Linked DNA regions of Oryctolagus cuniculus. The protein of the gene in region 3 interacts with the protein of the main gene of each other region in a pairwise test. Links are inferred from orthologs where the notes say so. Each region holds a gene or a part of one and is shown on either strand. Other genes may lie near its edges.

Region 1 (7,117 bases), on a different chromosome or scaffold from region 3:
ATTTAATAGTGCGTACAATGGGGTAAGTGGAGGATTAAACAAAGGACTCAAAAGGACCTAACAGAACCATCTCACTCTCTAGCATAATAGGTTTTCTTCCTATGTAAGTAGAATTTAACTAAAGAATTTTTCTTTCATGTTTTCTTCTCTCTACAAACTAAAAAGAGAGCTGAAAGGAATTTACTTATTTCTATCCTTTCAATATTTGTGCAGAGAAACAGACAAAAACCAGTCTGCCTTTGTCCCACTTAGCTCTGGTTTTGCCTGAAAGCACAGCAGCCTTTAAGGAGCTTAAAAGTCAACCAGACTTAAAGAACAGATCAGGTATCCAAAATAAAATGCATACCTTATTTACAAAAACACTGAACCCAATTTATCTATTTTCTACCTCACATACTAATTATTACAGGAAACCGCACAGGACTGAAACACCACATTTCTTGGAGCTGAATACTATTTCTCCCTCCTCCTCCTGTTTTATTATTCCACAAAGAGGACAGAAGCCAGGTGAGAGCAGAAAGAGCATACACTATGTCAGAGCTCTACTGTCCAACCTTAGTGAAGGACAGGGCCCAACCTCAGGACACAGTGCCCACTTGTGCTCACTTGGATGACAATTTCCTTGACAAAAACCTCTTGAGAATCCTCCTGGAATCCCTGAGGTATATAAAGAGAGCTCCTGGCTTAAAAGCCATTATACTGGAAGCACTGTACTTTACTGTACAGAATTTAAAGGTCTTGGCCGAAAACAGCAATTTTTGACTCTGCAAGGACTAAGATACTGAAACCATTAGCTTTCCATATCTCTACACTGAGTGATAACATGAGATGATCTTTAAAAGTTTTACCAATTCCAAAATTCCAGGCACTCAAAAATAGTATTTTTAATTAAATATGGAAGAAAATGCCCATAATGTTCTATAATACTGGCTATATCTGTGAGGGGAAAACAACTTATTTCCCTCCCTCCCTGCTCAGTTTACTTTTAGATCCTAATACAAGAACATGATATTTGATTTGTTAACATTTATGTCGGGTCACAGAAATACTGTAAGGCCCAAACTTAGCCATGAGGCTTAAGAAAAATAAGTAAAAGAAAAGAACACAATATTAGATATACAATACTTAACACTGTCTACAAATGAAAACCTATTAATTGTTTTTTACTTTCTCCTAATATTTTCATATTGATACACAAGGGCACTTCAAAAAGTTCACAGGAAAGTGGAATTAAAAATGAGTTTACTTCAGTACAAAAAAATGCTATGATATATAGAAAATGAGTATTATGAAAAAACTATGCAGACATTTCAAAATTTTTTGCACTCAAATTCATGCTTTTAATGCTATTTTCCACAAACTTTTTGAAGTACCATTGTATACTGTTTCTGATAATTCTGTGTAAATTTAAAAACCTTTCTCGTTTTCTGCTTTAATTCTTATTGTAACATAAACTTTATATACCACTTTTCAAAAATTTCATGTAAGAACAATTTTATCTGTTATCAAAATAGAATGATGTTGGCATTCTAAATGCCTTCTTGATTCCTTACCTTTGTAATGCTATCACTGAAAAATGTCTATCAAGTGGAACCTGCCAGAATGCTTCCTGAAGTTAACTGATCCTAGCATTTACTATTGCTATAGAAACAAAGTAGCATCTGGCTGATCTCTGTTTACAGCTGAATTGAAAAGGCTGGTGTGAAATCAACTGAATATAAGTAACTCAGATTAAAATCATCTGCCATTCTCTAGTGACAGACAAATGTTAGAGTATAATGGATGAAACTATAATCAAGTAATTGACATTATTTCTTAATATCAACTATCTTCTAGTAGGGCTCAGTAGACAGACTAGCTGTGCAGTTTCTGCCTTAACATTTTGAGTGGTCATACCAGAATTCCAAAGGCTCTTTCATGAACAAGTATCATTAATTAAATATAATACAGCCCAAATATCATAATACTTTATTGACTAATCAATAGGTTTTCCCCTAATGCTTACCCTAAACTCTAATCATTTTCAGTCATGTGAGGGATGAAAGGTTTACTGCTCCAGGGAGAACTAACTCCCTTACAGAAAGCCAAAGAGAGAAATATCTATAACTTTAAAATCAAAACAGAAAAAGGTAGGGGGACAGGGAGAAGAAAGGAGGTAAGAGAGAAGTTCTAATGCCAGAAGTCAGACTGAATGTCATCCTTTCATAGGCTAAATCAATGGGGAATCTTCATGTTCTTGTATAAAACAAGGGTATGCAATTCTGATAATAAATGAAAAGGCCAACAGATAGTGTTACAAAAGAACTGGGAAAAGCAAATTATCTGAGTGTGATTCACATTTACTAACTGGGACATACACAAAAGGTGCAGCAAAAGTGGACTCCATGTTCAGTTTTCCCAAGCATACAATAGCATTAATCTCCATTCTAGACAGAGATCATGCGAAGCGTGAGGCCAGCTAGCTGCAATCAGAAAGGCACTGGGTAGCCATTTTATACCTGGACCCGTAAGGGCAAATACTCTTCACAGAGATCATCCCACAGCTCCTGCAGGTCTGAAATCTCCAAGGGATACCCCACAGGTGTCTTGTAAAAGGGTTTCAAAGACCGGTTAAGGAAACCGGAACTAACTCCATCTGTCATGATATGGCCAGGCTTGGCTCCAGGTGGGCTGGATCTGATTGGGACAGGAAGCTTGCTCCCTCGGGGACTCCGGATGGGCTTATAATCAAGCCCTTTAATCGTGCTCAGCGCTAGCTCCAGCTTGTGGCTACACACATGCTGTGCAGCCTGTTCGTCTGCACAGCAGTCACACTTCGCAAGCTCCTTCGCACTCCTCTCCGCCTCCTCGTCCTTGTGTTGAGGAGGACTAGGTTGGACACTTGCATCCAAAGACTCCACAGAGGACCCCGGCGTCCCTTCCTCCATGCTTTCCCCATCCGGGGGCACCTTTGTGCCCGCCAAGTCCGGGGGCCCGACCTCTGACAGCGCTGGTTCTTCAGTGCAGATGCTGGTAGACCAGCGGCTGGAAGGGCCACAGGAGATACTCCTGGCCACCTTTCGAGGCACTTTACAAATGGCCTCATAGTCAGAGTCGGCAACGCGCAAAGCTGCACAGCCACGGCATCTCCTGGGTCGGTTGCCAGGGCCTTCCGAGGCATGGCAGCTGTGCGGCTCGTGGATCTGATCCTCACTTTCCACCCAGCACTCAAAGCCCGAATAGGCAAAGTCTTCCTGGAGCAGAGCGGAGTATCTCACATCGGGCAAGCCGGAAATGTCAACCGTGCCGTTCCCCGCCTTGATCTCGGCGCCGCAGTCGTCGTTATTCTTCCGATACATGCTGGCGATGCAGAACTTGAGGCGATCCTTCTCCAGCAACAGCTTCTGCAAGCGCTCGATGGAAAGGGCTTCGATCCGGGCAATAACGGTGTCGAACCTATAAATCCGATCAAGCATGAACGCACACTTGCTGCAAGCAAACTCGGCCTTGCCATCGCGGGAAACATCCTTGCCCAGGACGTGCGACAGCAAAACCTGGAGGTTGAGCTTGGACGCCGTGTGGAAGATCCAGCGCCGCTGGTTTCCACACAGCTCCCGGGCACAGATCCTGCAAATCTCTTTCATCTTCGCTCCTAGCGGGTACCTAGCTTCCAGGCGACGACGGCGGCTGAGGGGTCGCTCACCAGCCCCGGGCTGCGCTCCGCCTCCCGCCTCGGTGGTCTCCCGCCGGCATGGCACAGCCCTGAGGTGCGGGCTCCGTAGGGGCGCGCCTCCGCCACCCGCGCGCCGGCTCTGGGTACCAGCGTGCTCAGCCCCGCCCCTCGGGCAGGGGGCGGGCGTGGAAACGCCTCAGGGGGATGCTGAGTGACAGCGGCGCAGGCCGCGCTCGGACCCCTCCGCGTCTCCCACAGCTGTCTCGCCCGCCAGCGGCCGCGTCCCAGGCGTCGTCCCCTTTCAGCGAGCCGGCCCGGTTCCCGGCACCCTAGCGGCCGCCCGCCGCTGACGCAAAGCCTGGGCGATGGAAGATCAGATTTCAAGATGGCGACGACGGCTCGGCGCCTGCGGCCTCCGGGAGGTTCCTCTGGGAGCTGTAGTCCGGGCGGGCGGCTCCCCGCTTTGCGCATGCGGGATGGCGAGTCTCCCCCCTCCCCCCCCCCCCCACACACACACACTTTGCCCCAGACCCGGCGGCCGACGCTCGCGGTGGAACGCAGAGCTGGCTCGCTGTGGGAACGGACGGACGCCGTCCTGGGAAAGGCCACTTTCATCTGTTAAGTTCCTGCCAAAAAAAGGCGCACCGATCTCCTCAAGGATGCCGCCTCTGAAGGGTGTCCGAGGTTCCTGCCAAATCCCCTCCCCCCCTGTCCCCGGGCAGTGCCACGTACCCTGGATGAAGCAGCCCGGCGGCGCCACTAGGTACCGCTGCGCGCCGCCGCCTCCAGCCCGCAGCCCCTTCTCCTCTCCAGACCCGGCCCCGGGCCGGCATCGAAAGGCCTCGGGGCGGCTGAGGCGGTGGGGGAAGGGTTGATGACCGCGGAGGGCTGGTGGGGCGGGTTTTAGGAGGCTTAACCGTTCGCTCGACCGTTGGGAGAGCCGAAAAAGCGAGGACAAACGTTTCTCCCCCAGATGTTGGGCGGGAGAGGGGAAGGCTGTTAAAACCCGAGTGCTTTGCCGTTAGATAAAATCAGAGCACAAAGCAGTTCCTGAGAGAGTCCATCAAAGACCCTGTGAATGCATCTGGTCAACCAGGATTCTGAAGAGAAAATGGCATTTTCAAGAACGTAGCCACCTGAGACGAGATCAACATCACCTTCGGGCTCGGTGTTTGTTTAGGAGACGGAGAGGGTAGACGAAGGTTCACACAAAAGCCTGAGCCGAAAGTCCCGGGAGTGCTGCTGTCTTCAGAGTTAGGGCTGGACTGAACAACCCTCAGCGCCCCCGCCGCCCCCCACCTCGGCTCTGGAACTCGGAATGCACACCGAGAGGACAGAAGCTGGAGTTCCGCCGAGGTGGAATGCGCAGGTGCCACCAGCCATTGGCAATGAGGAAGTCTTCCCTGGCTGAAGGAGCACGCAGACAGACACCAGCCAGGAGGAACAGTAACCTCAGCAGTACCTGGAGTCCCCCAGAGCAGGACACTGGCCATACGTCTGAGCCCAAACTCCTAAGCTTATCAGACACCTAGCTGCCTTTCTGAGGATTAAACGAGGTGGTTTCAGGGAAATGTTTTAATAATGTTTAGCTCATTAGGAAATAGCTAATATTGTTGCTGTTTTAATAGCTGAACATTTTAAAGCAGTTTAGAACATCATGGGGCTCTGCATATATTGTTCTAATGACCAAAACAAAATCCTACCGCTCCATTGTGAGAGAATAAAGGACAGTCCTCAGAACTTTGGGCTTAGAAGGCTAACAGAATTCTCTATCTGTAATTTCACCTAAAAATACATATGTTAACCCCAAAACGACTGTAAAATGTAATTCTAAGTAAAGCTACAGCTGCTTTTTTGCTTGCCTCTAGATATGTGCGTTTCAAAGTTGCTTCACTTCTTTTTTAAGCAAAGATCTTTGGCATCTGTAGTGATCTCTAGAAAGGCAAGGGGTTTCTGAACACACTCTGGCTGATGGACACCTAGATGGGCCTGCTCTACCCTGTTATAACTGTTATCCTGAAGAGCAACCAGGACGAATGGCCCATAAAAGTGCTAATTAAAATGTTAATCAGGGTCCCATCTTTGTCAATGCAAGTGGCTATTTTCCCGTGTGGAAAATGCTAATGAACATTTCTCAATTATTTAGCAGCAAGCCCTGAAATAATACTTTGTATTATGCTCTATTACTTTAATAAGATTTTGCATGTGATAGTCTTCAAACTTCAATGATAATATATAAATAACTATATAGAAGTACAAATCAGTACAAATGGTGAAAAGGTGATATATCTTGAAGAAAATAAGTAAAGATGAATATGATAAAAGATATACAGATATAGATATACTTCTAACAGCAGGTAGAAATAATATTCCCACCCAGCAATCGAAGAAAATTTAAACAGCACACTATCCTATCCTAGAGAAAATATTTAAAAACTTTATCACAAAGTAGACAGTAAGCTATCATAGAACTAGTCCTAACATGAGCATTTAGTGTCATATAATAATGTAATTGCAACTAAAAAGTTACTAGTGTGTAGATAACAAAACAAAAATATAAAACTCAGAAGAAAAATTATGTGATAATTTCAGCACTTCATAATCCTTATTAGTATTTTCTAGGTTAAGATTTTGCAGTTAGTTAACACTGGCTACTTTGAGGGGTGAGGAACAGGGTTGTGTTAAATGAGGGTGTAGTCTTTTTATTCCGAATATTGCATATCATTTCAATTTTTGTCAATGACTGTGTATTCAAGTATTACTGTTAAATCTTAATTTAGAGAACAGATTAAAGGTTATGCCAATCTATCACTAATATCGGATCTAAGTGAGTAAGATTTGAACCTAAAATGGGAATTTCCATAATAGGAATGGTAAATATTTATATAATAATAAGTGGACAACTTATATAAACAAAGGTCTAAAGGAGATATGCAATAACTTACTAGTAGTGATTATAAATGTCTATATAAATATAGATATTTATTTTCTTTGTTACTTAATTTGTAATTTGTGATTTTCTACCATAAGTATGTATTGCTTTCGTCATAAGAAAAAAAAATATTTGTTACTAAGAAAAAGGAAGGATAGACATACTTTGGTATAGCCAAACAATGTAATACTAACCAACAATAAAAAAGAACAAACCCTGATACATACAACAAGAGTATATGAACTCTTAAAGACGAGTCATATACTAGTTAATGAATACCTCCTGTGTGATTTCATTTATTGACGTATAACAAAGGAAAAGTGATTTTAGTAATAGAAATCAGGAAGTAGCTGCAAGGTAAGAGGGTGAAACTGACTGCAGAAAGACACAGGAATTTTCTAGGGTAATGAAGATGTTCTGTATCTTAGTCTGAATGATTACTGCATGAGTGTATACAATTGACAAAGCTCAATTACTGAGCACTTTTTAAAACTTTAGATTTTATATGTTAATATATTTAATTTAAAAGTTCA
Region 2 (6,916 bases), on a different chromosome or scaffold from region 3:
GGGACGCACCAGGCTGCCGAGCGCAGAAGAGACGGCAGGAAGCTGCCGTCAGCAACCTGGAGCTACAAGTCACTCGTGTAACCGGCAGTGAGGGGCCTGCTGCGTCCACGGGCTGGGTCAGGCGCTGGGGCTCCCGTGGAGGAGGCTGGGGGTGCCAGTGGGGCGCTGTCTTCTCCTGCAGGGTCCCCTCCCAACCGCAAGCGGCCCGCTAACGAGAAAGCCACTGATGACTACCACTACGAGAAGTTCAAGAAGATGAACAGGCGGTACTGAGGGGGGCGGCTGCCGGCCCCGGGCACGCGCTCCCGAAACAGGCTCACCCAGGCTTGCCTGGGGGTCCTCAAGCACGCAGGTTGTCAACTTTGAAAAACTGGGTTTACTTTGTGTGTTTTGGGGACAAACTCTGCATTATTAAATCTTGTTTGTAAATAGACTGGCTTTCTCTCTTTGTTCTGGTCTGGGAGGGAACAGCTGTGTGTGCCCGGTGGTCCCGGCCTCGGCTTGGGCTCTCAGTGGTGGACATGGACTCGTGTCCTCCACTTCCAGACACTGGGGAGGGACGCGTCCACGGCTCAGAGCAGCAGCAGCTGGGACGACCTCAGCGGACGCCTGCATTTTCTGACTTCTGCAAAATGGCCTCTCTCTCTGCAAGGGAGAACTCCCTGTCCTCCCCCGTGTGGGGCTGGATTATTAAATACAGAGCGAGCGCGGCCTCGTGGCCTTCAGCAACACCAGGTGACGCTCTCACAGCCCGAGGCCTGGGGGGCTCAGATGTCAAACTGAGCTCCTGAGAAACGGGTTCTCCTTCCGTTCTTGTTTTTTGAGGTGATTTATTTGAAAGAATTAATTACAGAGAAGGAGAGCCAGAGGCAGACCGCGAGCGAGATCGTCCCAGCTGAAGTTCATCCTCCAAACGGCGGCAGCGGCAGGGCCTGGCCCGGAGCTTCCCCGGGTCTCGCACGTGGCTGCAGGGCCCCGGCACTCGGGCCTTTATCTGCTGCTTTCCCAGGGGCATTTAGCATCGAGGTGGGACTCAAACCCTCTACACCACAGTGCCGGGCCCCTCCGCTGACTCAAAAGACGGAGACGCTCCGACCGGCTGGCCGAGGTGTTTCCCTGGACGGGCCAGGGAAGCAGTGGGCTTGAGACTTGTGGACTGGCCGAGTGCAGGCCCCGTGGCCGTGGAGGCTTGGTGCACGCCGACTGGCCGAGTGCAGGCCCTGTGGCCGTGGAGGCTTGGTGCACGCCGGACTGGCCGCGTGCAAGCCCCGTGGCCGTGGAGGCTTGGTGCACATGGGCCAGATCGGACCCTTGCTCACTGCTCCTAATCCCTCGAGTCTCGGTTTTCTCATCGATAAAATGGAGAGGGGCCAGGCGTTGTGGGGCACTTGCGACGTGAGCACCAGAGTGCCAGTGCATAGCCCAGCTGCCGCGCCTGGGACACAGCTTCATGCCAGCTCCCCTAGGAAGACAGCAGAAGATGGCCCGTGTGCGTGGGCCCCTGCTCCCATGAGAGAGACAAGGACGGAGTTGCCGGCTCCCGGCCTTGGCCTGGACCAACCCCAGCTGCTGCATGTGTTTGGGGAGTAAACTTGGGGCTGAAAGGTCTCTTAACTGTCAGATAAAATGAAAATAAATTTTAAAAATTTAAATAAATGAATAAAATGGTTAAAAAACCAACAATAGGGGCTGGTGCTGTGTCGTAGTAGGCTAAGCCTTTGCCTGTGGTGCTGGCATCCCATATGGGCCCCAGTCTTTTTCCCTGCTGCTCCACTTCCGATCCAGCTCTCTGCTGTGGCCTGGGAAAGCAGTGGAGGATGGCCCAAGTCCTTGGGGCCCTGCACCCACATGGGAGACCTGGAAGAAGCTCCTGGCTCCTGGCTTTGGACTGGCTCAGCTGCGGCCATCTGGGGAGTGAACCAGCAGATGGAAGACCTCTCTGTCTCTCCCTCTTACTCTGCCTCTCAAGTAAATAAAAAATCTTTTAAAAGCGCACACCTTGTTTAAAATATGCATACATTGGTTATACATCAAAGGAACACAAGAGACCAGCTGAGACTTCCGTGAGCAAAACCAGAACAATCCAAGGAACAATACAGTAGTGGGTTACAACCCAGAGTGAAATCAGCGGCCGAGGGCCCACACTGCTGTAATAATTGAGTGAATAAGTACGTGGAGAGGCCGGCCGTGGGGAGCATGGGTAGTTCTGCGCCGCTGTTGTCCCGAGGAGTGGGGCAGCTTCCTGCCCCTGGGGTGGACAGCTGCAGCCTCATGGCCTCCGTCACGTGGGCAGCGCTGCCCTGGGTATGGCAGGTGAAGACACGGCTCCACTCCCGTGACCCCGCTCCCCAGCCTGGTCAGAGCGGCACCGTGCCTGTTTCAACAGAGGGAGAACTTGCAACAGCTTTGACCAGTGCTGTCCAGTACCCAAGGCCGTCGAAATAAGGGAAGTCTAAGAAACCATCAGGGGTAACCGCAGATGTGGCAACGAGACGGGGAGGGGGTGGGTTCTGGGGCAGAGAAAGTAGAGATCGGAACCAACTGATAGCCAAATACTACTTACAGCATACCAGTGTGAAGATTTTAGTAACAGGGGAAACTGTGGGGGTGCGGCTTATGGGGTCTCTCCGTACTGTCTCGTCAATTTTTCTGTAAGTCCAAAACTGTCCTTAAAAAAAAAAAAAAAAAAAAACAACACTGCGTATCCTTATAAAAATACAAAAACCAAACCGAGGTCTCCTGGGAGCCCACTTGCCGGAAGCAGGAAGCCGCGCTGCCCCTAAAAAAGATGGCGGACACCGGAGACAGCTATAGCCCGCCCCGAACAAAGATGGCGGCGGCGGCGGGGTGGAACCGGAAGAGCGTGTCTGGCGGTAGCGCCGGTCGGTGGTCAGCGCAGGAAGGCGCGGGGAGGCGCGGGTCTGGGCATGAAGCTGGGCCGGGCCGCGCTGGGCCTGCTGCTGCTGGCGCCGTCGGTGGTGCGGGCGGTGGAGCCCATCAGCCTGGGTCTGGCCCTGGCCGGCGTCCTCACCGGCTACATCTCCTACCCGCGCCTCTACTGCCTGTTCACCGAGTGCTGCGGCCAGAAGCGGAGCCTCAACCGGGAGGGTAGGCGGGGGTGGGGGCTGGCGGCGGCGGGGCTCCGGCCGCAGGACGGGCGGAGGCCTGGGGGAGCCGAGCTGCAGGGTGGGCGGCTCCGCGGGCGTTCTCCGAAGAGCTTGTCTCCGTCGTGGTCGGAGCCAGGGCACCAGGGACTGGGTCCTCTCCCTGCCGGGCGCTGGGCCTGGAGGAACCGAGCAGGGGCCCTGGGGCCGCGGGGCCAGGACGTCCCCAGCAGGCGGGACTCGGGCGCTGACCCCTCTGGCCAGAGGCTGGAGGATCCCCCGCTCCTCACCGGCCCTGTCTTTGCCAGCGCTGCAGCGGGACCTGGACGACAAGCTGTTCGGGCAGCATCTGGCCAAGAAGGTCATCCTGAACGCCGTGTCCGGCTTCCTGAGCAACCCCAAGCCCAAGAAGCCGCTCACCCTCTCCCTGCACGGCTGGACCGGCACTGGCAAGAACCTGGTCAGCAAGATCATCGCGGAGAACATTTACGAGGGCGGCCTGAGCAGCGACTACGTGCACCTGTTCGTGGCCACGCTGCACTTCCCCCACGCCTCCAATGTCACCCTGTACAAGGCAAGCGCCCCGCTCCCGGCTGCGGCCGCTTCGTCGTGGGCAGGGGTGCGGGAGTCCCTGCGGAGGGGAGTGAGCCCCAGCCTGGCGCCCGCCTCAGTTTCCCTTTGAAAGGTGTGGCAGCTGCAGAGGGGTTGAGGGTGCGGCTCAGTGGGCGCGGTGCCTGGAGGGATCCCAGGTCGTGGGCACGGTGCCTGGAGGGATCCCAGGTCGTGGGCGCGGTGCCTGGAGGGGATCCCAGGTCTCATTCATGTTGTCCAGGAGGAAGCAGGCACGTGTTTGTTTAGCCTAACTGTTGCAAACTGGGCTCCCAGGGCAGGTCACTGATTAACAGCCCCTGCTCTCCCACCTGGAGAGGCTCACAGGTGCGTGGGAGGCTTCGCACCCATCACCCTGCCAGGCACCCGAACCTCAAGCATAGGCTCACTGTGATCTTTCAGGGGCCGGGCAGCAGACCCCAGTGTGGGCAGGATGGGGGCGCTCACTGGTGTGAACTCATTCTGCCTGCGTGAGCGTGTCCCCACCCCCACCCTGACCCGGGCACGCTGGGCTCTCGGTGCTAAAGCCAGGAGCATTCGGCGCTGGTCCTTGTGGTCTGGTTGCGGCTGCACCTGGGCGACTCCGGGCAGGTGTCCCGGCCTGCCTGTGCCACTCAAGTGTCCCCCAGCAGCGGGGCCGCAGCAGTAACCGCCGTGGCGGGCTCCAGGGGGGCCGTGTGGGCGCCGCTGGGACCAGCTCTGTGCTCTGTGCCCGCGGTGAGCGGGCGCCGTGTGTCTCCTGTCGCTCACGGAGTCCAGGTGGCAGAGGCGACATCCTGGGCTGTGGGGGGCCGAGCAGATCTGAGGGAGCCCCCGCTCCAGCGGTGACTGCCCCCTTGGCCAGGGCAGGCGGCTGCCGCCCGCCTCAGCTTCCAGGCGGCACTGTCACCGGAGCCACAGAGGCCCCGTCAAAACTGAAAGGCGGCAAGACTGACGCCGTAACTTCCAGAATCTTCCCCAGACGACAGACAGCGGATGGCCCTGTTGTCACGGGGCGGGGGGCACGGGGGGCACCGCCCACTCGTTTAGAACCAGAGCTCAGGTCTTAGATGTCCTCAAGGGGTCCTGTCCTACAGGAGGCCCCAAGTGTGTGCTCATGGAACACTGTCAGGCACGGGGTCCAGGGCCCAGGCGCGTCGCTGCCCACGGAGCCGCCGCCGGCCCTCCCGCCCTCCCCCTCTCCAGGCCGCTCTGCGCTTGCTCTCCGCCTCCTTCCCCAGTGCCCGGGATACGCGTGGGCGATGCTCACAGCACGGACTCCCCCACCCAAGCGTGGGGCTCGGGAAGCTGGCAGGGTCGGTTCAGAGCCGGCTCCGCCACACTGATCTTACAGTCTCGGGCAAGGTGACTAAGCGCTTGTTGGCCTCAGTTTCTTCATCTGTCCAATGGGTATGGTGGCGCCCGCTGCACGGGGTGTTCAGGGAACCACAGGGCTCACATGTGCAGTGCTCTGAGCAGAGCAGCGGGCACACGGCACCAGGAAGCGCAGGTGGTGGGCGCTGGCCCGAGGGCCCGAGGCTTCGCCAAGAAGCCGGCACTGACCTCTGCCCCGCACCCCAGGATCAGTTACAGCAGTGGATCCGAGGCAACGTGAGTGCCTGTGCCAGGTCCATCTTCATATTCGATGAGATGGACAAGATGCACGCCGGCCTCATCGACGCCATCAAGCCTTTCCTGGACTACTACGACGTGGTGGACGAGGTCTCCTATCAGAAGGCCATCTTCATCTTCCTCAGGTGAGGGCTGGGCCGGGGCTGGCTGGGCCGGTTCTGGGCCCCCGGGAGCGGAGCCGTGACCCCGCTGGGCGTGTCTTGCAGCAATGCGGGCGCGGAAAGGATCACAGACGTGGCTTTAGACTTCTGGAGGCGTGGAAGGCAGAGGGAGGACATCAGGCTGAAGGACATGGAGCACGCCTTGTCCGTGTCCGTCTTCAACAACAAGAACAGTAAGTGGCCCCTCCCGTCCACCGCCCCGCAGCCCTGGTCCTGTGCGCCCGGCACTGCCCCGGCCCCTTCCAGCCCGCGAGGCACAGGCCCGGAAGCGGCGTCGCGCTGGGAACCTGCAGAGCACTGGCCCATTTCTGCAGCTGCCGGTTCTTGTAGAAGCCGAGCAGATGGTGACCAAGGATGGCTGTCGGGGAGGTGACCGCTGGGCCCCCGCTGTCTCAGCACTGCCCACGTGTCCGTTTCGTCCCATCTCCTTTCAGTAACCTTGGGGGGAGAAACTGCGGCTGTCCCTAGTGTGCCGGTGAGGATGAGGCTCGGGCAGACGGGCGCCCTGTCCCGTGTCCCCGGTGCCAGAACCGGAGCTTGTGTTGCTCGCTGCTTCTCTCATGAATGTCATCCGTACCTTTGGCCTTGAACCCCGGGAGGTGGAGAGCCGGCAGGACGGGTGCCGACTCACAGACTAAATCCTGCACGTCCCCAATGGGGGCCGGCGGCCCAGAGCCTGCGCCGTGCCAGCTTGCAAAGCCACTCTGGGGGACCCGCCTGGGAATCAGGCAGACCGGCTGGGCTGCTGCTCCGGTCACAGGCAGGTGCCAGATACCCCCAGGCTTACTGAGCACCTGCTAGGTTCACACAGCCAGTGGGGAGAAAGACATTCCCACCCTCACCCAGCTTCCCCTTTTTTATTATTATTATTATTTAAGATTTATTTGAGAGGCAGAGAAAGAGAGAGAGAGGTTTTCCATCCGCTGGTTCACTCCCCAGATGGCTGCAACAGCCAGAGCTGGGCTGATCCGAAGCCAGGAGCTTCCTCCAGGTCTCCCACGCGGGTGCAGGGGCCCAAGCACCTGGGCCATCCTCCACTGCTTTCCCAGGCCACAGCATAGAGCTGGATCGGTAGTGGAGCAGCTGGGACTTGAACCAGCGCCCGTAAGGGATGCTGGCACTGCAGGCAGCGGCTTTACCCGCTACACCACAGCACCGGCCCCCAGTTTACATCTTAATGTCAGTAAAGCCTGTCAGATGGTGGGAGATAACATGTGTGCCCCCCCCCCCACAGGTGTATGTATGTTCTCTTCTTGCCCCCAGCGGGGAGAAGAAACTAAGGAAGGATCTGGGGGTGCTGGGACACGCATAAGCTGGATCTGAGTGGACAGCTCCCTGGGAGGGTGGGAGGGAGTGGGCCGACGAGGCCCTGCAGTGGGCACAGGCCAGGAGTGGCAGCTGCTCCGGGAGGAAGTGGAGGTGAGCAGGGCT
Region 3 (7,000 bases):
TAGTCAACACGAAAGCAAATAAGTGTTGCAGATGATAAAACTTATTCATTACCAGGAAAGAGCAAAGTATTAAATTAATATTTAGTAGTTTCTGAATTTACAACAAATGACTAGAGGGAATGTTGACTCCCTAAAGAAAAATCTTTAAACACACAAATTATAGTCAAAGGAGCTTGTACTTACAGAAGTTGGAAAACTGAGGACCAACAGAAAAATACTGATCATCTTTGTCATTGTTTCAGTATTACCAATTCTAACTAAAATGATACAATTCATCCTTTACAAAAAAACTTGCACTTAACTTCCCAATTTTTCCCTCTTGTATCAGCCTATTTCAATGATATTTCTGAAAACATATTTGCAGAAAAAAAGTAATTTAACTGAAGACTTACGGGAAGATCAAGCCAACATAAAAAGAGTCTGAAGAACAAGGAAAAAGTACTCTGCTGTAAACTGTAAAGAGAAGCAGTCATAAAAAGCATCTCAAGTGTAAGTTTTCTCCTGTGATCTACATCTGAGAGTAGCTCAGCATCTTTCACTCCACAGACACAGGCACAGCAAGTGTATCGCCCATGCCATGCAAATGCTCACCCTCCACCTGCCTGCTCAGGCTATGGCTCCTGCTGCTGTAGTCGCCACCAGAGAAGGCAGCAGAGCTCAGAGGAGCAGTGGAGAAAGAAGAGAGGAACAGGCAATGTGTGTGTACATAATGAGTCTTCAAGAAGTTCTCCCAAAAATGCCTACTGGGAAAAACTTATGCATGCATTTCAAAAATGTTTGACACTGAAATAAACTTCTCTTTTCATTCAATTTTCCATGATCCTTTGTAGTGCCTTCCATGTGGATATGTACCTATGTGTCCATTTGTTCTCCAAAAAATTTAAAGTAATTTGCAAAATAACACCCAGTTTAACACAGTTCAAGATACAGATAAGAGGGTCAAGCTCTTGGCGGATACTCCCAGGTGGGAATTTAGAACCAAGTAGAGTGATAGGCAACAACTGCATGATTATTTTCTGCATGTCATTTGAGAGATGAACTACATAAATATTTCTGAAGATAGCTGCAGCACCTTTAAGCACTTCCTTCAGCCTTTGGACCGAGTGTCCACAGGAATCAAGGCATCACAAGGAGTAATCACAACACAGAATAACCTCTTCTTTCCATTTTGGAGTTACAGTCACAGAGCAGGGCTGTATCAAAGTCTTATTTTATAATTGCCAGACATTAAAATTAGTAAATATTATTCATCATGATAAAAGAGATCAATAGTCGATGAATTATTTTGATCATTAGAAATGTTTTAATTTTTTAAAAAAGGACTAAGTTTTCCAAACAGCCCTCTGAATACAGCCACTCATTCATTGGGGAAAAAAAGGATAAAAAAGTTCTAAGTGTTCTAAGTGTTACTGCAACATTTAAAAATCTGGGGAAACAAAAGATTAGCCACATTTTCTCACGATTAGCTCAAACATACACCTTCACATTCACCTACCTACCCAGTCCTCCGACTCAATCCATCCTTTTGACAAGTGATGATGCAAGAACGAATCACGTGAGAAATGTCAGCATTCTTGTATCCATCATTGTAACTAATCAATCAGGGACCAGTATCAGAATGACATGGGAGGTGGGGGGGCTACCTACCTACATAGAGAACACCCTCTTTTGTCTTCCCTGCAGCCTCTGCCACACCCTGTTTGGTTTTCTCAGCGGCAGCCACAACTCCCTCCTTGGCCTTTGAAAGCCCTTTCATGAACACATCCATGGCTAATGAATTCCTTTACACCACACTGGAAAACACAAAATACATGCTGAGTGAGAACTTTTTGGTAAAAGCAAGCAAAATTCAAACCATCCAAGCTAAAAACAAAACAGAAAACGAAAACACTAAAAATCTGTAGAAATCCCCAAAAGCGTGAAAACTCTTTGACGTGACCCCTCATTTCAACCACCTGGACAAAGCAGTCCGCCCCTCACTCCCACCCCAGCCCACTCCCCTTAAGCTTTAGCTTTAGGAATTTCTCCTCCCCCATCCATCTTGACTCATGCTGACCAGGGAGAGCATCTGAGCTGTTCTTACTGCATCTCAGAAGTGGAGTGGCAGGAACAGATGCGCCCTTCTTCCAACTTCCCAGGGTCCAAAGGGTGACCCTCTAAGTCAGCAGGAGGTTTAGAGGAAAGACCTCAGGAAAAGGACGGGAGCTGGGGGCCATGGCCAGGCGCATCCTTAAAATGAATCCCAGAAGAGGGGTAACAGGTTGATCCCAGGGGAGGGAAGAGCACTACTCACTCTGCATGTGGTTAAACCGCAAGACAACAAGGAAGGAGCCAGGGGACGCTCCTCTGAATCCACGGTGCCCTCCACCTCCGCCCTCTGCTATCTATCCGGAGCAGGCGCTGGTCTTCACCCGCTGGCAGCGTCCACACCCCTGCCAGCCACACTAAAGGGCGTTCTCAGCCGCACCGCACCCCCAAGCACACCTAGCGCCTGCACCTGTTAACCCCTTCCTACCTGTTGCCTTGTCCCCTCTGCACTTTATTTAGAAATTGGCCAAAGCTGTTTCCTCTCTTCTCGGGAAACAGCGAAAAAGCGGCCTACGGGGTGGCGGTTACCGTAAGAGAAGAAAAGTTGGATGCTCTTGCTCCACCCAGCACCCGGCGCTTCCGCGGGGAAAACGCACCCCGGAGAAGCCGCTGATTTCGCAGCCTTTGGGGAGGCCGGGGAGAGCTGGGTCAACATCCACTCCTGACGTGCACGCGAGGGACCTGCACGCCCCACCAAGAGCCTGGACACCGCGGTCCTGGGGTGCACCCTACCACCACCCCGCGTCCGCGGCGGCTCCTCTGCCTTCCCGGGTTTCTCCACGATTTCCAAAGCTGCCCGTTCAGAGCCACAGGTACTCACCCGAGAACTCTGCTTCTCCGGGACTCCGAGTCCTCCCCTCCCCCCCTTTCCCTTTAATTTAAACAAGTGCCAAATATTATTTAAACGGGCCAAGGGAGGGGACGGGAGCGCACAGGAAGGGCGGAGGCGGCGCCAAGAGACGGATGATCCCCAGAGGAGGCTGCCGTCAGCGCAAGCCAGCGACGGGAGGCGGGGGACGTGGGAGGCACACGCGCGAACCTCGCGTCCAATTGCCACTCCCCGTCCCCCGCACGGAGGATGGGGGAGGAAGAAAGCGAGGGTCGCGAGGGAAGGCGGGCGGAGGGCTGGAGGTAGGCGCAGGGCGGGGCTGCGTCCCGGGGCTGCCCAGAGGCCAAGCACACACCTCGCTGCGCGTCAGCACACACTCCCGCTCCGCCGTCGTCCCGCTCGCGGGCCCCTGGTCGCGGCCGTCCTCCTCCTCGCCGTCCTCCTCCACCTCCTCCTCCGGCGCCCGGATCTCCTCGACTCACCGCCCCCACGGCTGATTTGTCAGCGCCTCTCCCCGCCCCTCTCCCGCGCTCGCTGCGCTCCCGGCGCGTGCTCTCGGCTCTCGTGCTCCGTGGGGAGGGGGTGCGGGGCAGGTGGCCCCGGCCACTGCAGCCGGCCGCCTCGGCCTGGGAGGCGTAAAGGCGCGGGGCCCGGTGCTTCACCGCAGGCTCAGAGGCACCGGGAACGTGCGGACCTCCGGAGCGCTTTGGCTCGGGCTGAGGTCTCTTCTTTCCACCCGCTCCCTCGCTGTCTCCTTTCCTCTGGTTTCTCGGGGACCTCGCTCCCAGCAGAGCCTAACCCTGGGGCTTGGGGACCGAGGAATGGGCGTCGCAGCCGAGCCTGGCTCCGGGAGCGGACGGAGGAGACACGGGGCGCGGCGGGGGCGCCTGCACCTGCCCCGCGTCAGCCCGCTTCCTGACACTTAGCACACGGCCGAGGGGCGCCTCGTGCAGGGTCGCTTTTGTTCGAACATCCTCGAGGTTTTCTGTTCTCGCTTAACCCCGGGTGAGCCCGAAAGGGTCCCGCGGGCAGGCTGGGGACCACCGAGCAACAGATACAGGTTCGGGAGGCACGAGGGGACTCGTCAAATCGTCTCCCTACCAGGCTCTCACCATTTTCTTTTCCACCAATCAGCGGCTGCCAGAAGCTGATTTTTTTTTTTTCCCCATCTGTGAAGCAGGCAATAAATATTCCCCAGCCGTCGAAAGCGAGCGGCCCCAAGGCTTTTCGCTCTGGAAACGCGGCTTCGTTTCCAGACCCCAGGACAAGGTCTAGGAGGCAAATCCAACGTGGTGCACGTTGCCCTCCGAGCTGACACCCCCTCCCCTTACACGGCACACGCGAGAGAGCCCCCGCCGATTTCTGCGTCGTTTAACGCATTTTCACCCTTGTCAGTGCTGGGTGGAAAACAGCTGTTCCTAGATCACACCAGAAGGGAGAACCAGGCTCCCCCCCTCCAGCAGAAGGCCTTGCTTTCCTGGCCCGGTTCTTGGAGATGGGCTTAGCACGGAGGGGAGAACAAGGCTCTGCTGCCTCGTTTGTTCCTTGGTCTGTTTCTGTTTTTCTGCCGCTTGCACGCATCTGGGTTCTGAAATTTGAGTCAGATGTGCTTTCCACCTATAAAGCACAACTTGAAACCACAAGGGATGGAAGCTAACGACTACATAGAAAGGATAGAGATAGCTAAATATATAGATTGTTAGATAAAAGATGGATAGATGACAGGTGACAACCAATACATAAGAAGGGGAGGGGATGGTGGTAGAAAGAAATGATACAGATAGATTCCGAAGAAAAAAAAAATGTGAAAATTAGATCACAAGTATTTATCACTTAATAGATCCTCACACTCCTTGCCTCCCTTTTGAAAAACAGCCTTTGGACGATACAGCCGCTCATATTTTGTTTTCCTGGGATCAGAGGAAGAAAGCAGACACGGGAGCTAGTTTGCCATCTGATTTTAAGGCCGTGAGCAAGTTATGTCCTCCTGTTTACAGCTTTTCCTCCTGTAAATGAGGAGGTGAACTAGATGATCCCTCTCTTTTCAGTTTTTTATTATGGAAAATTTTCAGACATGTACAGAAGTAGAATCAAAGACTCTCACATGAGTATCACCCAACTTTCACAATGTTTCAATGCCTGCCTAATCATATCTAACTATAAACACTCCACTTTATCGCTACCAATCTTCATTTTTAAGTAAATTCCAAGTTTTATATGCATATTTTATCTGTAAACATTTCAACATGGATTCACAAAATGTAAATTATGAAACAATAATCACCATAGCACTTGAGAATTTTTATTCTTGGTTATAATTTACATAGAGTAAATGCTCAGCTCTTAAGTGTCGCTATGTGTCCATTTTGAAAAATCTGCACTATTTGGAAAACCCAGAACATTTTCATCACCCCACAAAGGTCCCATGGACCCTTCTTAGGTGTGTACATTCTAACACTTCATCAAAATGGAATCATAAAGTATGAACTTTATTTCCTATTTGACTTCTCTCTTCTAGCATAGTATTTCTGAGACTCATTCATGCTGTTACATGAATCACTGGTTTGATTTTTTAATGCTTTTCATTACTGCTAATAATGCATTTTTCCACTGTGACCCACCACGACCACATGTCTCAACAGATATAAATAATTATGACAGTTATTTTTTAAAGATGTGTTTATTTAGTTGAAAGGCAGAGGTACACAGAGAGAAGAAGAGGCAGAGAGACAGAGAGGTCTTCCATCCCTTGGTTCACTCCCCAATTGGCCGCAACGGCTGGAGCTGCGCCGATCTGAAGCCAGGGGCCTCTTCTGGGTTTCCCACACTGGTGCAGGGGCCCAAGGACTTGGGCCATCTTCTGCTTTCCCAGGCCATAGCAGAGAGCTGGATGGGAAGTGGAGCAGCCAGGACTAGAACTGGTGCCCACATGGAATGCCGGCGCTTTAGGTCAGGGCGTTAACCCACCACACCACAGTGCTGGCCCCTGACAGTTATTTAATATGTGATTTTATATGACATATTTGTGGTTTACCAGGGACCTGGTCCTTTAAGATGGAGGGGTGAATGAAATGACAGTTATTTTAGGTGTCATGAGCAAATCAGTGATTTATTTTGGGGATGATTATGCATCTTATAACATATCATGATCCCATACTTTTATATAGTACCTATGTTTGGCAAAGGACTAAAATCCCGTGTCACTTAATCATAACAATTGGATAAGTTAAATTTTATATAACTTTTATAGGCAGAGAATCTGCTGGGGAGATAGACTGAAGTTAATTAGCTTTATGGTGGTAGAGCTGAGATGATCTAGCAGAGACTGTACCAGAAGGCACAATCATCTGAACTGCAGCTCATCCTTGAAGCCTCATAGATTGAGTGTGTACCATGGGGAAGAAGTGGTGGGACCCAGCTCTGTTAGAAATAACCTTTGAGTTTGGATATCACAATGGAAATCAAGGAAAATGTACACTATTATAAAGCAATATATTCAGATTTGCAACTTCACCTTCTCTGTGCCAGTACCCCACCACTCCCGTGTGAGATACGGGTATCCCAAATGATAGAGTGACCTAATCCTGATGTGAACATTTTCTTAATAATTACCATACATGTCCTTCATTTTCTCTTCAGTACATGAAATATCAGTATTTTACCCCACATTAGTAAATTATTTTATCCAGGTTTATTTCAGTAATTTCACTATAGATTAGCATTCAGTGAAATGTATGCTTTCCCTAGACTTAATTTTCTCTGTGAGATAACCAAATATTTAGTTATGTCCTGTGGTAAGCCTGTGCTATGGCAAAAACAGCAGAGCAGGAGCCAGCGTTGTGGCACAGTGGGTTAAAGCCCTGGCCTAAAGCGCAGGCATCCCATATGGGCGCTGGTTCTAGTCCCGGCTCCTCCCCTTCTGACCTAGCTCTCTGCTATGGCCTGGGATAGCAGTAGAAGATGGCCCAAGTCCTTGGGCCCCTGCACCTGTGTGGGAGGCCCAGAAGAAGCTCCTGGCTCTGGATCGGCACAGCTCCGGCCGTTGCAGCCATCTGGGGAGTGACCAGCAGATGGAAGACCTTT
Region 4 (7,021 bases), on a different chromosome or scaffold from region 3:
GTCGCCCAGCGTCGCCCAGCGTGGGCCAGCGTGGGCCGTGGCCGCCTCAGTCTGGCCGTGCTTGGTGAACGGTGCAGCTCCAGCTCCAGAGTACAGGGACCCCACGTGAACTACGCCACGGCTCCACCGCTCCTCCGACGTCCTGACCCGAGAGGAGGGGCGGCACCGCACGCCGCAGTTCCTCGTCGCCCCTGCAATCGCGGCCCCGGGCCGCCCACTGCCCTGGCCAGCCCCACGGCCGGCGCGTGAGAACTTGCCTTGTCCCTGAAGAGGGCCGCGGCCCTGCTCTCGTACTTGTCCTGCAGGGACCAGCAGGGGTCGTAGTCGGCCTGGGACTCCAGGAACTCCCGGAACTTGGCGTTGCCCCCGACCTTCATCTTCTCCAGCTCCAGGTCCTTCCACTTGTCCATCGTGACCGAGCGCACGAAGCTGGAAGCCGGAGGTGGGCACTGGCCTCATTACCAACCGGGGGGCGTGCGGGGCGACCCCCGCCCCGGCCCCCCCAGACACGGGTGCAGGCGGGCACTGACCTGAGGTGCACGCCCAGCCCGCGGTGTCTCCCCGAGCACTCTAGGCAGATCCAGATGCCGTAGGTCACACTGACCCACTGCGGGTTGAAAGCGCCACACTCAAAACAGACCTGCAGAGGGGGCCACACACGGCTCGCCGGGGGCTCGGGGCAGGCCAGAGAGCCCGACGCCACACACAAGGACCCCGGGGGAGGAGGGAGGCCCAGGCGGCAGGCAAGCCTGGGCGGGGTGGCCGCTGATCCTGCCAGGAAGCCGGCACGAGGGGCGAGCAGCCCCAGGGGAAAGCGTCCAGCAGGAAGGCCAGGCAGACGGCCCCGGGCGACAGGAGGGCCGTGGCCCACGGCAGCCGCAGGCGGCCCCGACTCACATTGTTCTCGTCCCGCACCCTGACCTCCTTCAGAACTTTCCGGGTCCTCGGGCTGGCCATGACGCTGTGGAGACAGAACGGCCCCGTGACAGACCCACACGCGGTCCCTAAGTGAGCCATCGGCTCACGACACTTCACACCTGCCCCTTCACGAGGCCTCTGGCCCACCGCGAGCTGCCCAGGCCACCCGGCGTCCACGTGCACGTGCAGCGAGGCCAGGCCGAGCCAGGTGCGTCCTCGTGTCCCTCTGCTTCAACCCCACGGCCCGCCACGACTGCGAGAGGTTCACAAACAGCTCTGTCTTGTCAGCGGGGGAGCCCCCGCCCCAGCACGCGCTGACCCCTGGCAAGGGCACAGCCCCCCGCTCCCGCATGCCCTGACCTTCGGTGTGGAAAGGCCAGCCTGGGGGTCTGGGGCAGGTCCTCGAGGGGCCACCCTGAGCTCCCTCTGGGCGCAGCAGGACCCCCGTGACCACCAGCAGGGACAGTGGCAGCCAGGCCCAGGTCCAGCAGAAAAACTTCTCATTTCCTAAGGATGCACTGGCTTCGGCGCGTGGCCGATTGACTCGCAACCAGAAAACTCACACAATCCAAGCTTCCAGCTGGGGGCAGGGGTGGAGCCCTGGTCCCGCGCACCCCTGGTGAGGTGAGCCCGGCCTGGTCCCGCGCACCCCTGGTGAGGTGAGCCCGGCCTGGTCCCGCGCACCCGTGGTGAGGTGAGCCCGGCCTGGTCCCGCACACCCCTGGTGAGGTGAGCCCGGCCTGGTCCCGCGCACCCCTGGTGAGGTGAGCCCGGCCTGGTCCCGCGCACCCCTGGTGAGGTGAGCCCGGCCTGGTCCCGCGCACCCCTGGTGAGGTGAGCCCGGCCTGGTCCCGCGCACCCATGGTGAGGTGAGCCCGGCCTGGTCCCGCGCACCCATGGTGAGGTGAGCCCGGCCTGGTCCCGCGCACCCATGGTGAGGTGAGCCCGGCCTGGTCCCGCGCACCCATGGTGAGGTGAGCCCGGCCTGGTCCCGCGCACCCCTGGTGAGGTGAGCCCGGCCTGGTCCCGCGCACCCATGGTGAGGTGAGCCCGGCCTGGTCCCGCGCACCCCTGGTGAGGTGAGCCCGGCCTGGTCCCGCGCACCCCTGGTGAGGTGAGCCCGGCCTGGTCCCGCGCACCCGTGGTGAGGTGAGCCCGGCCTGGTCCCGCGCACCCGTGGTGAGGTGAGCCCGGCCTGGTCCCGCGCACCCGTGGTGAGGTGAGCCCGGCCTGGTCCCGCGCACCCGTGGTGAGGTGAGCCCGGCCTGGTCCCGCGCACCCCTGGTGAGGTGAGCCCGGCCTGGTCCCGCGCACCCCTGGTGAGGTGAGCCCGGCCTGGTCCCGCGCACCCCTGGTGAGGTGAGCCCGGCCTGGTCCCGCGCACCCCTGGTGAGGTGAGCCCGGCCTGGTCCCGCGCACCCGTGGTGAGGTGAGCCCGGCCTGGTCCCGCGCACCCGTGGTGAGGTGAGCCCGGCCTGGTCCCGCGCACCCCTGGTGAGGTGAGCCCGGCCTGGTCCCGCGCACCCCTGGTGAGGTGAGCCCGGCCTGGTCCCGCGCACCCGTGGTGAGGTGAGCCCGGCCTGGTCCCGCGCACCCGTGGTGAGGTGAGCCCGGCCTGGTCCCGCGCACCCCTGGTGAGGTGAGCCCGGCCTGGTCCCGCGCACCCATGGTGAGGTGAGCCCGGCCTGGTCCCGCGCACCCGTGGTGAGGTGAGCCCGGCCTGGTCCCGCGCACCCCTGGTGAGGTGAGCCCGGCCTGGTCCCGCGCACCCGTGGTGAGGTGAGCCCGGCCTGGTCCCGCGCACCCCTGGTGAGGTGAGCCCGGCCTGGTCCCGCGCACCCCTGGTGAGGTGAGCCCGGCCTGGTCCCGCACACTCCTGGGCCTCAGCCCCCTGCACACACACACTCCGTGTGGCCCCTGCCGTGTCCCCTCCTAGTCACACGGCAACGCCGGCTGCGAGGACACCGGCACCCAGAGAGCAGACAGCCCGCAGGTGCCACTTCCTGTCCAGACGCAGCTTAGACAGAACCACGATGGACCCGCCCACTTCATTCTGGCTCAGGACGGCCTGACCCCTGACCCCTGCACCAGCACCCAGCTTGACGCCATGTGAAGTTAGGAAACAGACACCGGATTCTGGGGTCCAAGGGGGAAAACCAAGCTTGCGCCGGGCACCCTCCTGCGCGGAGCCCGCACCCTCCTGCCTGCCGGGCCTGGGCTGGCACCGCTCGCCAGGTCTGCGGTCACAGTGGCCGCACGGGGGCCCGGGGCGCATTTGAGGGCGCGCGCCTGGGCGAGGGGTCGGGAAGTCCTAGGCCAGGGCTGGGGCAATCGCCACAGCGGCCGATCCTCAGGCTGATGTTACCGACGTGCAAACGGCCCTGCGCAGGAACGCAGGGAGCTGCGGCGGGGACGCGCGCACGGCCGAGGCCCCGCTCGGCTCAGGGAGGCCCCCGGGGCCCACGCCGACGTCCGCAGCCCCCGCGCCCTCCGCGCCGCCCCCGCCCACTCTCCGGAGCGTCCAAGGACCCCGATGTCCCCTCCTGCGGGGCAGAACGCGGGTGCCCGTCTCGCTCGGAACACCGCACGCGGCGAGGACCCGCGCCCGAGCCCGGCCCCCGCCGCCCCGAAGCCCCGCACCGCGCCAGCCGCTCGGGAAGGGTCGTCCCGCCGCCCTGGCCCGCAAGCCCACGCACGCGAAAGGCCGCGTGAGGAGCCCGCCCCCGCCCTCTCTCCCGCAACACCAGCGTCCGCACCAACGCGGGGGCCGGCAAGGCGGCTGCCACTCCGCGGGCGCCTGCGGCCGGACCGCGGCCTCGGAGCCTGCGCCCCGCCCGGCACCGGGCCCACGCAGAGCCGCGGCGGGCGGCGCCCCTGGAACCGCGGGCGGACTCAGGCTCGCGAGGGAAGGGGTGCGGGGGTCCGCCCGGGAAGGCCCCGCGCGCCCGACAGCGACGTCGCCCGACAGGGCCGGGAGCCCGCGCCAGGGACTGGGCCGCGCGCTCACCTGGAGAAGAGGCCGGCCGGGGCTGGGGTCCAGGACAGGCTTGCTCCGCCACCCGCACCGCGCGCGGATCGCCCCCCGCGGCCACCAGCTTCCGGCAACGTTGCGCTTTGCAAGGCCTCACGGGAGGCTGTCAGCGCGGCGGGGCGGGACTTCCGGCCGCCACCCCAGCCGGTCGCCATGGAGACGCACCTTCCCTGTGGTCGCCGGGGTCCGGGCGGGAGGAGGGTCGGGGCTGCGCGGGGGCGGGTCCCGGGCACCGTGAGCGGGGTGTCCCCGCGGGTCGGGGTCTCCGGAGGAGGAGAGCGGGTGGGTCCCCGGGTGCCCTGCGCGGGTCCGTGGGGCGGAGTGGACGCCACTCAGGTTCCAGGCCCAGGCAGGTGAGCGGTGGAAGCTGTGGGCTTGGTGACCTCTCGCTGTCCATGGCTTTTGCTTTGTTTTTGACTGTGTGGTGGCGTCGTCGCCTACAGCAGGAGTTAAACTCAGGGCTGGCAAGTGCCAATGACCTTGGCCGTGAGCGTGGCCTGCCCGCTGGTGTCCACCCGGTCTCAGCGTGGCTGTCGCCCGGGATGGAGCTCTGTGGGCGCACCTTCCTGGTGGCGCCTTTCACCTGACAGGTGTACTGATTTAAAGGGCGGAGGTCCGGAGAGATCACCTTCCCTGCACTGCTTCACTCCCCAGATGACAGGGGCTGGGCCAGGCTGGAGCCGGGAGCCCGGAGCTTCTCCCAGTCTCCCACGTGGGTGCAGGGCCCAAGCACCTGGGGCATCGTGTGCTGCTTTCCCGGGTCATAGCAGGGAGCTGGGTTGGAAGTGGAGCGGCCAGGACCGGCACTGATGCCCACACGGGTGCCAGCGTTGCAGGCGTCGGCTTTACCGGCTACGCCTCGGCACCGGCCCCTTGAGGCGACTTTCTATTCCTGTCAGCTGGCAGAGCCCCACCCACAGGAGCCCTGGGTCTCCCTGGGGACTGTAAGCTCACCTGGACAAGCACCACGCCCATCTCCGCCCCAGGGCGTTTCCCACAGGTGTTTAGGGGGCTGTGGACCAGGCAGGCCCTCAGCATCCTCCAGGCAGTGGCCAAGACCCCTGGGGCTCCATTGGAAGTAGCCATCCTCCCGTGTCCTGGGGGTCATCAGACCGCGCCAACAGGTGGGCCAGGTGCGAGGCTCCCAGCAGGAGGCCACGGTCAGCATCATATGTCCCACAGAGTGGCCCAGGGCTGCCTGCCTGGGCAGCCTGGGTCCCTGACCTCTCCTGTGATGACCATGAAAGAGGGAAGTTCCGTGACAGGGGGCCGACGGGAGGGGACCGTGTGGTCTGGGGATCCAGGCCTACCTGGTCAGAGGAGGAATGGGGCTCCCCTCCCCCATGCCAGGCCGGTGGTGCCTCCAAAGGAGCAGCACGGGACAGCGGGTCCTTCGTCCAAAGGACCCACTCCCTCCCTCAGGCCCCTGTCCGGTGCAGAGCCCTGAGGGTGCGGAGGCAGCCCCGCCCCCGGGCTCTGTGCCCACCTGGACCTGCTTGCCCTGAAGGGGCGGCGGGGGCTCACGACGTCCCCTCTGGGGAGCGGCCATCATGTGGACGGGCCCCTGTCTGTGGGGCTGTGCACCACGCGCGCCCCTGCCGCAGCCCTGCTGTGCCTCCAGGTCGCCACAAAACCAAGCCCCAGCAGCCTCGGCAGCAAGTTCCCTAACCCTAGCGTGGGCGGGGAGAGGCTTGGCCGGGCAGCTCAGCTCAGCTCACCAGGTCTCCCTGCTGCCTCTGCGCAGCTGTCCTGGCGCCCGGGCCCAGACCCTGGTCTAGTCTCCCCCAGCCACTCACAGAAGTGAGCTCGGCGAGTGGAGGGAGGGGTGCGGCCGGCCCCACAGGTCCCCGATCGCTGGACCCGTGAGGTCATTCATGTCCCCTACGGGTGACATCCTGGTTGGCCTGTGCTCGAGGGGCTTCCCTCGCAGGAACTCGAGGTTTGGGGCAAAAGATACCTCCCAGCTGCATGGACGCCCGCCCGACCAACCGGAGCCCACTCTGCCCTCAGAATTCCCCAGAGGCCTCTCTGCGGGGGACCGGCTTCAGGGGGAGGCAGGAGCTAGGTCCCGGCTCCCCGCTCTGCACTTTGTAACAAAGCCCTGCTTCCTCTCCCCAGCCCAGGCCGTAGCTGGCTTGCTGTGTGTCACCGAGTGGACTCCCTTTGGGGGGCGCTGCAGCAGTTTGTGAGGTGGGTGGTGTGGGGCTCAGTTCCCACCTTTGCCTCCTCACTTTGAGCAAGGTTCATGCCGCCTGCCCAGGGCCCCCGGGGAAGGGAGAGCTCGCTGGAGCAGGAGCCCGGTTTGCTCCCGCCCTCTCCAGGTGAGGCTGGTGGCAAGTGTAACGCCGGGAGCACAGCCGTTACAGTGTAGCCGGGGTCTGCTCCCAGAAGCGGGGAGTTGAGAGCGCTTCCTGCTCGCAGACTCAGATGGGACCCAGTGCCCGGGACCTCGGGCTGGAGGCAAAGAAGGCGAGATGCTGAGGGTGTGGGTGTCGGGGTGCAAGGTTGTGGGTTTTGTTGAAGGGACCAGAGAGTGCTGCCTGGGCCCCCCGCGCTCCCCTTTGCTGAGGCAGAAAGGGAGGGGGCGCTTACACGGAAGGTGCGCGGAGCTGGGCCCCATCCGCAGGCACAGGGACCACCGCGGTGTCCTTGATAACCAAGGGCCCTGGGCCACGTGAGCCTCCAGGAAGCCCCTGCCCGCCTGCGGGAGCTCCCAAGAGGGCAGGTCCCAGCCAGCTCTGCGTGGTCAGCATGGACACCTGCTCTGCCAGCAGGTGAGGGGCTCTGAGGGACAATGAGGGGGGCCCAGCGGCAAGTGAGGCTGGAGGGCGACCTGGGAGGACAGGCCAGCCACCGCCCCCTCGGCTCCCTCCAGACCCAGCCACCTGGGGTCCGCACCGCCGCCAGGGGGCGCTGTTGGCCTCATGGTGTGGGAGAGCAGATTCCCCACAAGGAAGCCAGCAGAGCTGAAAAGGTGGGTGGTGGAGGGAGGGGTCATGCTGACCGCAGGCGGTTCTGCCCGGATGGGCCCAGGACTCTGAGGGTCCCACAGGTGAGGAAGGAGTCCAGAGC

Evidence for each region.
Region 1: the proteins of SNCA (region 3) and PDE4DIP interact in a two-hybrid assay, tested with the Homo sapiens proteins (2 studies listed by BioGRID and IntAct). The link is inferred for Oryctolagus cuniculus from reciprocal best matches to the Homo sapiens genes SNCA and PDE4DIP.
Region 2: the proteins of SNCA (region 3) and TOR1A interact in a two-hybrid assay, tested with the Homo sapiens proteins (2 studies listed by BioGRID, with this or other methods). The link is inferred for Oryctolagus cuniculus from reciprocal best matches to the Homo sapiens genes SNCA and TOR1A.
Region 4: the proteins of SNCA (region 3) and ARFGAP1 interact in binary tests that used the Homo sapiens proteins (3 or more experiments, as listed by UniProt). The link is inferred for Oryctolagus cuniculus from reciprocal best matches to the Homo sapiens genes SNCA and ARFGAP1.

What each region holds. Positions count from the first base shown.
Region 1 is NC_091438.1:50,610,046-50,617,162, reverse strand, and holds the start of PDE4DIP (myomegalin), read right to left. Parts: upstream 4,081-7,117; 5' UTR 3,624-4,080; coding exon 2,499-3,623; intron 1-2,498. UniProt on the Homo sapiens protein: Functions as an anchor sequestering components of the cAMP-dependent pathway to Golgi and/or centrosomes.
Region 2 is NC_091432.1:232,662,138-232,669,053, reverse strand, and holds the start of TOR1A (torsin-1A), read left to right. Parts: upstream 1-2,836; 5' UTR 2,837-2,927; coding exon 2,928-3,108; intron 3,109-3,412; coding exon 3,413-3,678; intron 3,679-5,273; coding exon 5,274-5,449; intron 5,450-5,530; coding exon 5,531-5,658; intron 5,659-6,916. Other genes in the region: C1H9orf78 (splicing factor C9orf78 homolog), read left to right, coding at 182-273. UniProt on the Homo sapiens protein: Protein with chaperone functions important for the control of protein folding, processing, stability and localization as well as for the reduction of misfolded protein aggregates.
Region 3 is NC_091439.1:75,751,826-75,758,825, reverse strand, and holds the start of SNCA (alpha-synuclein), read right to left. Parts: upstream 4,001-7,000; 5' UTR 3,273-4,000; exon of another isoform or gene 2,516-3,272; intron 2,482-2,515; exon of another isoform or gene 2,084-2,481; intron 1,794-2,083; 5' UTR 1,769-1,793; coding exon 1,648-1,768; intron 1-1,647. UniProt on the Homo sapiens protein: Neuronal protein that plays several roles in synaptic activity such as regulation of synaptic vesicle trafficking and subsequent neurotransmitter release.
Region 4 is NC_091442.1:569,422-576,442, forward strand, and holds the start of ARFGAP1 (ADP-ribosylation factor GTPase-activating protein 1), read right to left. Parts: upstream 4,081-7,021; 5' UTR 3,926-4,080; intron 962-3,925; 5' UTR 958-961; coding exon 898-957; intron 641-897; coding exon 531-640; intron 430-530; coding exon 258-429; intron 1-257. UniProt on the Homo sapiens protein: GTPase-activating protein (GAP) for the ADP ribosylation factor 1 (ARF1). Involved in membrane trafficking and /or vesicle transport.